Linked DNA regions of Nothobranchius furzeri. The protein of the gene in region 2 purifies or fractionates together with the protein of the main gene of each other region. This does not show direct contact. Links are inferred from orthologs where the notes say so. Each region holds a gene or a part of one and is shown on either strand. Other genes may lie near its edges. The genes, in order: rasa1a and pdgfrb.

The links.
Region 1: the proteins of pdgfrb (region 2) and rasa1a purify together in Homo sapiens (co-immunoprecipitation; 5 studies listed by BioGRID and IntAct, with this or other methods). This does not show direct contact. The link is inferred for Nothobranchius furzeri from reciprocal best matches to the Homo sapiens genes PDGFRB and RASA1.

The regions. Positions count from the first base shown.
Region 1 is NC_091757.1:43,329,793-43,333,606, forward strand, and holds part of rasa1a (ras GTPase-activating protein 1), read right to left. Parts: intron 3,412-3,814; coding exon 3,254-3,411; intron 3,175-3,253; coding exon 3,098-3,174; intron 3,004-3,097; coding exon 2,831-3,003; intron 2,741-2,830; coding exon 2,581-2,740; intron 2,496-2,580; coding exon 2,353-2,495; intron 2,257-2,352; coding exon 2,141-2,256; intron 1,014-2,140; coding exon 927-1,013; intron 838-926; coding exon 770-837; intron 683-769; coding exon 594-682; intron 518-593; coding exon 440-517; intron 297-439; coding exon 162-296; intron 85-161; coding exon 5-84; coding exon of another isoform or gene 1-4. UniProt on the Homo sapiens protein: Inhibitory regulator of the Ras-cyclic AMP pathway. Stimulates the GTPase of normal but not oncogenic Ras p21; this stimulation may be further increased in the presence of NCK1.
Region 2 is NC_091741.1:96,117,418-96,121,800, reverse strand, and holds the start of pdgfrb (platelet-derived growth factor receptor beta), read left to right. Parts: upstream 1-1,550; 5' UTR 1,551-1,745; intron 1,746-4,383. UniProt on the Homo sapiens protein: Tyrosine-protein kinase that acts as a cell-surface receptor for homodimeric PDGFB and PDGFD and for heterodimers formed by PDGFA and PDGFB, and plays an essential role in the regulation of embryonic development, cell proliferation, survival, differentiation, chemotaxis and migration.

The DNA.
Region 1 (3,814 bases), on a different chromosome or scaffold from region 2:
CTACCTGTTGCTGTTGGACATGGCATACTGAGCCTGCTTCTGCTGGAGGAGCTCGGTGATGGCCAGCAGCTTTTTCAACACATGCTGAAGAAAAAAACAAGAGTACGATGACTTCTAGAGCAAGCTTTGAACTCTTGGAGCTGTGATCGTCAGTCTCTGACCTGCTGTGCGCCCCTCTCATTGCTCAGGATGCGAAGTTCAGCTGAGTGTGCGACACAGATCTCGTGCAGCGCGGCCAGGTCCCGCGGCAGGTCGGCCCTAAAGCTCTCTATGGTGTCCGGCAGCTCTGGGACATTCTACAAACGTGACAGTTTTTTATTGTCTGCTTGTGAAGAGAGGGCCTCAGTCTCTCAAAGATACTATACCAACCATTAAAGTTTTAAACAAATCAGATATTCAGCTTAAAGGTTTGATCCAAAAAGTAAGAAATGAAACTCACCCCTAACTCATCCAAGAACATGATCATCCGATGTTTGTTATTTTTTATGAAAGGGTTCACACCCTCCATGTAGGGCTCCTGTCAATAAAAATAAATCAGTAATTAGCTAAATACTTTTGCATTTTGTGAAAGTTTAAATGGGATGAGCTCATACCTTAGCACCAAACTCAACCAGGTTGGCCAGGTTCTGGACAGACTTGGCCACCAGTGTGAGGGTCCTACCTGCTGTTGAAGATGGAGGGTCTGGAGGGGAGGAGCAAGAGTCCATAAAAACTGATTTCCATATTGCAGTAAAAACATATTCGGGATGTTTTTTTAGCACACACTTACCAGCTATGATGTTGAACATTCGGGGGTTGAGGATGGCAGGGCAGATCAGTCTTAAAAAGACAAAACCACTAGAAAAATACAGATGAGGTGGAAGTTAGTCAGCAAAAACAGCCTTTACCCATCAAAGTATTCAGATTGTTTAGAGACGCTGGTTTACCTTACAACTCTCGTCCTCATGGTGGTGTTATTGGGCCACTTCCTTTTGACAGACATCTGCAGGCACCCGTAGATATACCTCAATGTCCTGTGTGACACACACACACACACACACACACACACACACACACACACACACACACACACACACACACACACACACACACACACACACACACACACACACACAAAATCAGCCGAACTCTTTGGGTCTAATGATGAAGCAGTAAAACCATTTTTTAAAGAGCAAGTCACCCCCTACCAGGGTATTACTCCACTCCCATTTCCTGTTTGAAAAATGCAACAAATGCTGTTGCCTAGCAGACCAAAGGGGCGGAGCCACTAACAAACACACACACATGCTCACAATGACATTGTGACATCATATGGTACCAGCTAACATTCTAAGGTACCTCTTAGGCCCTGTCCACACGTAGCCGGGGATCTGCCAAAACGCAGATATTTTTCTACGTTTTGGCCTGTCATCCACACGAAAACGGAGTTTTTTCACACGAAAACGGATCTTTTTAAAAACTCCGGCCAAAGTGAAGATCTGCGTTTTCTCCGTTTTGGGTGTCTGCGTGTGGACAGACAAAACCGGAGTGTTAAGGTCCGCAACGTCACTTTCCGCGACAAAAAAATGCTGACATCACGTGTGCAACCTGTGTTTACACTAGCCGACATCATGGAAGCCCTCAAACCTGCGCTCTGTCACTACCCGATCCATCAATTGTCCAAGCGCTTTCTGCTTGTTTGTTTTTACAAGCGGAATTACTGCTCCTTGCGGAAGACCACAGACGAAGGACGAGGTTAAGAACGGGGGAAGTACTGCCGCCTACAGGTCTGGCATGTCCTTAACAACGTATTTATCCGGGTACGTGTGGACAGAGTTTGTTTTTAAAACGCGGTGGTGTGGATGCAAGTTTTTGGAGGGGCGGATATTCGTTTTTAAAAAACCCCGGCTACGTGTGGACTAGGCCTTAGCCAATAGCGATGGCAGATTTTATATCAAATGCAGTGCAGAGTTTTTACCGGACAACGACAAAACACTGACAGTTTTAGGCAGAAAATTGAAATGTGTACTAAAATGCACTAAAGTGCAAAACTATTGACTACACGAGTCTGCAGCACAATCAGATACGGATTTATATAGTTTATCAGAAAAAATAAAAGTTGATTTGAGGGTGACTTGCTCTTTAGGTGTTAGGAGCTTACGATGGTAAGATTTCAGCAGCCATGAAGATCTTCTCCACTAGCTCAGACAAAATGTTTAGAAGATGGGTCAAGTTCATGTTCACGTCCTCGTTCTTCTCCAGTTTGGAAGGGTTCAACTGCAAAGGAAGGGAGGGACACATGAAAGAGGACATTTGGACAGATAATTATTTCTATGTGCTGAATGAAGGCTACATGCAGGTTTATTCATTTACCTCGCACGACTGTTTGCTTTCCATAATCTTCAGGATGGTGTCTTTGAGTGCGTGATGGACAAAGGGAGTGGCGGTGGCCTTCATGTACTGCTCCATGAGCGTGCTGGCCAGCGTGGTAGCTCTGAACAGTGTTGTGGCTTCATCTGGGAGGATGCGCGTTACCAAGTCAAACTCAAGTTAAGCTGTTTTAAAATGACCTCACATCAAATCACGCCGTCTGCGTCTCACCCTCCATGCTGATTTCTCTGTCGTTGAGTCTCATTAATAAGGATGCTTCAGCCTTCTCATGTCTAAAGATGCGCAGGAGGAGGCTCGCCAGTAACGTCCTGTCCTGACCACACACGTGGGCCAAAGCATAGATTACATGGAAATCTTTCTGCAAAATCATCTGTAGAGGACATAAAGAGACCGTTTTGATTCAACAGCCATGCTTGCAGCCAAAAAGTTGCAATCAGAACCACTTCTCAGCAGGCCTGACCTCCTTGAATTCACTGTACTCTTCTTCAGGCATGATCTTCTCCATGGAGTATCGGGAGCGTATACGCAAGGTGCCGGGCTCGATGCCCTTCAGAGGAACGTGGGAGCTCAAAGAGTACCACTCATCATTCATCTGACCCTTATTCAAACTGTTTAGCTGGCACCGCATAAACACTGAGAGGAGACAAAGAGGAGGACAACAAGGAAAAGATCAAAATGGGACTGTAGAGTTGAAGGTTATTACTTTCTCTAATTTATGATCACTTACAAATATCATTTTCTTTGCTCTTTTTTGATTTGTTGCTCAGACTGATTTCAAATCGGTTAATTTCACTGGACAGGTCACTGAAAACACAAAAAAGGCATGTTGGAATTTTGCTAACACAATCGTGAAACGAAAGGAGACGAACGAGCACCGACTCACTCAAAGATGAACTCTTCAGTGAAGACAGGATTCTGCCCTTCTCTCGGGTGTGTTTTAGCAACCTGGATGCTGTTCAGGAAGATGTTACAGTAGGGGTTGGTGAAATACTTCATAGGCAGCTTGTGGGCCTCCTCCACATACAGCACCAGACTGCTCACCTGAGAGGAAACGCACACAAAATGAATGTTATTCGCCATAATTACAACTTCGCTGTTTTGCTCCCGACACCTGACAAATCTGGATCAATCTCTATCTGCCTCAGGATACATGCATTTTTGACTTAGCTGACAAAGAAAGCTCTGAAACTTAAAGAGTGTCAGTTATCTACGAGCTTGGCTTCCTACTTTTTACCCTCTAGATTTATGATGTCCTCGATGCCCTTACTAGATCATCACATTTGCAGATGACACTACTATAGCAGGGATCATCAATGGGAGGCCTGGATAGTGCAGAGGAGCCAAATTAATCCTCAATGCCACCCAAACCAAGGAACTAAATTAGGACTGGGCTGTTTGTTTGAGTCAATCTGTGGAAATGGTCCTGAATGTCAGATTTCAATAG
Region 2 (4,383 bases):
TCCAGGTCCTGGTCTCAGCTCTGCTGCCTTCCTTCTTCCCTTCCTCCCAGACAATGAAACTCTAAAGTTTTATCTGAAACCAAGAAGAAAAAACAAACCTACAGCAAGACATGAGCTGGTTCCTCTGGTGGAATTCTGTTTACAGCATCAAATCAGACCCGCAGTGAGAGGAACACTCCTAACCAGCTCAGATAGACTCTGCATTGTTGTGGCTGAATATTTGGGAGTCCGGTTTGTTAGGAGCTCTCCTCAGCACTGCTGCCAAACATAGAGCAGTAGAAACCCCTCTTTGTGGATTCTCCGTCACACTCCATGGTGACAACATGCTAAAGATGTACATGTTAATCAAATGCAAAAGTCTCCTAAGTGTCCACATCCTGTTTTGGTGTCTCTTTGTCTAACAGCAGGATGTTTCAGCGGATAATAACGTTTATTTCTTCTGCTGCATCTAACTGGTGGATTCAGACCAGATTAATCAGGACGTGTTGATAACGTTGGTAAAATTAGACGGGCATGGGGCGGGCCTATCCTGTGTGGTGTTGCTCCCCTCTTATTTAATAACCAGCACTGCACCAGCTCTCTAATTACTGCTAACGAGGCTTTCAGATTTATCCTCACAATTAGAGGAGAACATGTAACTGTCCAATTTAGGCTCTGTTCCCTCCTCCCCCCTCGCTCTGCCTGCTTGTTAGAGGAAGAAAAGGCCTTGATCAGCAGCGGGTTTGTCCCCTCCTGTCCTGGGAAACGATGGCATTAGGAAGAGAGCCAATATTCAGGAGAAGTTTTCTTCATACACAGCTTTGAACAAGAGAAGGAGACAGAAGAGGGAGGTGAGTTGTTGCATGTGGTGGAGATGAAAGAAGAAGGGAAATATGATAGAAAAGGAGGCTTCATACGGTAACTTTTACACCTCTGTGGGGTTACTCTCCTGAGAAACTGAGACTTCCATGTTTGTTTCCTGGGCACCGTGAGCTCTGCCAAACCTTTCATTTTATTTTTTTTTCTTTGCTGCCTGAACCTCCCACTCTCTTTCTTTTCATTGTGTTTGTTGTTTTTGTGGAAGGAATAGAAGCAGTCCAGATTGCTGTTGCCAGTAGAGACTGTCTCAGCTCACCTCCAGCGGCTCTCCTCTCCATTCATAAACAAATGGCTGCGGCCCGGGACCTCTGAGCTGCAGCCTACAAGAGCAACACGCAGAACCTGATCCGTGTTTTTGAAGTTCTGATCGTCTGCCTCTTCACTCATTTTCATGAGACCTGCTTGTGTTGCTTTTTGCTCCTCTGTTCTCTAACACCCCCTTCTCCTCCTCTCTTCTTCCATCCCTCCCCTCTCTCTCTCTCTCAGATTCAGCTAGGTCAAACCGCTGACTCTTTGCTCTGTGTGAGCCTGCCAGAGAAGGAGTGTGTGTCCGCATGCCTCTTTTAAACTTACACCACTCTTTCTGAGTGCCGGTAGGCTTGTTTTGTGAGTGTGAGAGAGACAGAGAGCTGAGGGAGAGAGAGAGAGAGAGACCCCCACAGCGCTGTGATTTGACTAAACAAACGGCCGGGCTCAGAGCGGTACCTCCTCCCAACGGACTCCTGGGACCAGCACAGATAAACCTCAGACTGAACATCTGAGAGAGTGGTACATATGATGCAGCAGAGCCTGTGGAGGCTGCAGCTGGAGACCTCCACTCAGATTTTTATCTTCTTTACCTTCTTGGAGAGGGAAGACTCGTCTGTGCCTGCAGGATCGTTGTGAAGGTATGGAGGTGTTAATCTTGAACTTGTTTCTGATGGTCACGGCTGTTTTGTCGCTGCTGCCAGAGGTGAGAATTTGTTTCACAATGTTGGAAAAGTTGATCCAGTTTGCACGCTGAGGCCAAACCCACAACCGTTCTGGGTTTAGTTAAAACTGGACCCTGAATTTCGTGAGTTTTATTTAAATTTAAACAAATCAGACAGGTTTTTTTACTCTCCATGTCCCCACGAGTGTGTGTGTGTGTGTGTGTCCGCTGGGTTCTTTGGTACCCGCATGTTTGAATGTGTACACACAAACAGCGAACAACCTGTTCAAACATCAACACAGCAGCGGCTCACATCCCTGACACCACTTCACACCCTACAGCTTCAACCGTGTTTGTCTTCTCGCTCAGAGATGTTTGACAGGTTGTCTCAGACAAACACACACACACATAGCTTGTTTGTATGCATGCCACTTTGCGCTTTGCTGCTAAAGAGCTCGTTTATGCCGACGCTCTTCAGTCACCCTACTTGAACCAAAGATCTTCCCTGTGAAAGGGCCTGTCAGGATCAATCTTCTCCAGAGGAGCATCAGCCCGGAGCCGTCACCTGCATCCTCTTTAGCCACAAATAGATTCCTTTATAGTGATAATAAGGCTAAAACGAGCCCAGCTCTTCTTTAGATCTTCTGGGAACCGGTGACTGGGTCAGTAAACATTGTGTTGAATCATCGTTCTTCCCTTCATGACAGAAACAAGATTTTACAGCCTGGACTGAGTTACGCTGGCGTCATGTGAGCCGTTTCATGGCTAAGATATGTGTTTGGTGAATGTCTTTTCCATCTAATCCGACACATGGTTTGCACCTGAAAGGCGGAGTAATGAGCAGCTGCGGTATCTGGACTGTTGGTCTGGTTTTATTGGGCATCCATCATCCAGATGCTGTTGCAGTTTCAGCAGATGAACGTCTGGAAAACTGCATTCATATCATCCTTCTACCATCAGCTTAGCGTCACGTTTAAAAGCACTGCTCCGCTCTGACACATTTTTAAACAAGGTTTTTCTTAACGTAACAGGGTTATATATCTTTCCTTGGCTGTGGGGGGTTTCCTGGCCGTGCGTCAGGCTGCTGGTATGCTCCTCGGCCCGGCCCTGATGTTGAGCAGCCCGGTCGGCTCCGTTCCCCCTGGCCCGGACCTAATCCTTACTCATCAGCTGTTTCCTGGCTTTTTGGGCTCGCTTGCATGCCAGCCACAGTGAGAAAATGTGCTTCGCATTAAGACCCAATACAGAACACGCCAGCACGTGCTCCACAGAGCCGACATGTCGCAGTTTGAGTTGTGAAACACGCTGATCCCAATCTGTCCTCCTGTGATTTATTCTCTGTCCCACGAGCCGAACGTGCAGCTGCTGAGCAACAAGATCACAACTGGTGTCATGCTGCTCGCTTTCTGGTTAAACACCAACTTTAGTCATCAGTTTACAGCAGATCATCGATGCACAGGTTGAAAAGTGTTTTATTCTCTGACTCATATCCTGCTGGTCAGTTATCATGTGACTCGTTCATCGTTCATGTTTTTCAGCTGAGTAGATAATAAATGTCCTTTAGTCGTTGGTCTTTAGGGTTGATTACACTATTCATGAGTCGATTAGCTGTAATGAAGAGCACTCAGAAGTGCAGGAGTAAAGCATGCCATACTGCACACACACACACACACACACACACACACACACACACACACACACACACACACACACACACTGGAGTAAAGCTGTCAGGCAGCTGCATCTCATCTTTAGGCAGGAAGTTGCAGCCAGTCCTGCTGCACAAATCTTTGAGGAAATGTCTGTTTTAGCGTCCCTTTTTCTCCTATTTAGGCATAAATGTATCTTTAGTGTTGGACTTTGAAAAGACAGATAAACATTTCATTTTTTACTCAGAGAGAAGGTTTAGAAAAGAACCAAGAGAATGTTTTTACTGAGCGTTATTTAAATGTGTTCTGTGTTGTGCTCATTATACTTTTAGACCAGCTCTGTTCTCCTCAGGCCCACAGTGCAGAACATCCACGATGCTTTCACAACACGTTGAAGCAGTTTGACAATAGAATAAGATTGAGTTATAATTTTATTATTTTGATGAGATTAAGCTGCTTTGTAATTCAGCCTACACTTATTAAACCCCACGGCTAATGTCTCACACATTTACCCGTGCTGTTCTTTGTTCTTTTCTAATTCCTTAAATGTAGAAAATGTGAGGTTACGGAATTATTTTCACTCATTTGATTCTAGTGATTGGACCGCCAAAGGCTCCACATTGCACTGGGCCTTTCATGTTCCTCCTGCAGGTGGTGGGTCCATGGGTGGATGTGGACAGCCCATGTGTCTGGGTCAGGCCATGGGCAAAAGGCCGGCGGCTGGGTGCTAGAACGCAGGCCGACCCAAAGGCCTGCTGCCATCAGATGAAGTGTGAGACAGAGTGCCGTAGGAGGTGCCAGGTCCAGGGCTGGACCCCGTGTGCCAGCAGCACCAAGCCCGTTACATCCAACACCCCTCACCTGCAGGAGGAACAGGAAGACCTAACCCATATCCTAGCCTTAACCAATGGCGTTGTATTCCTAACCCTAACCTAAACTAAATCTTTATTCACTCCATACCTCCAA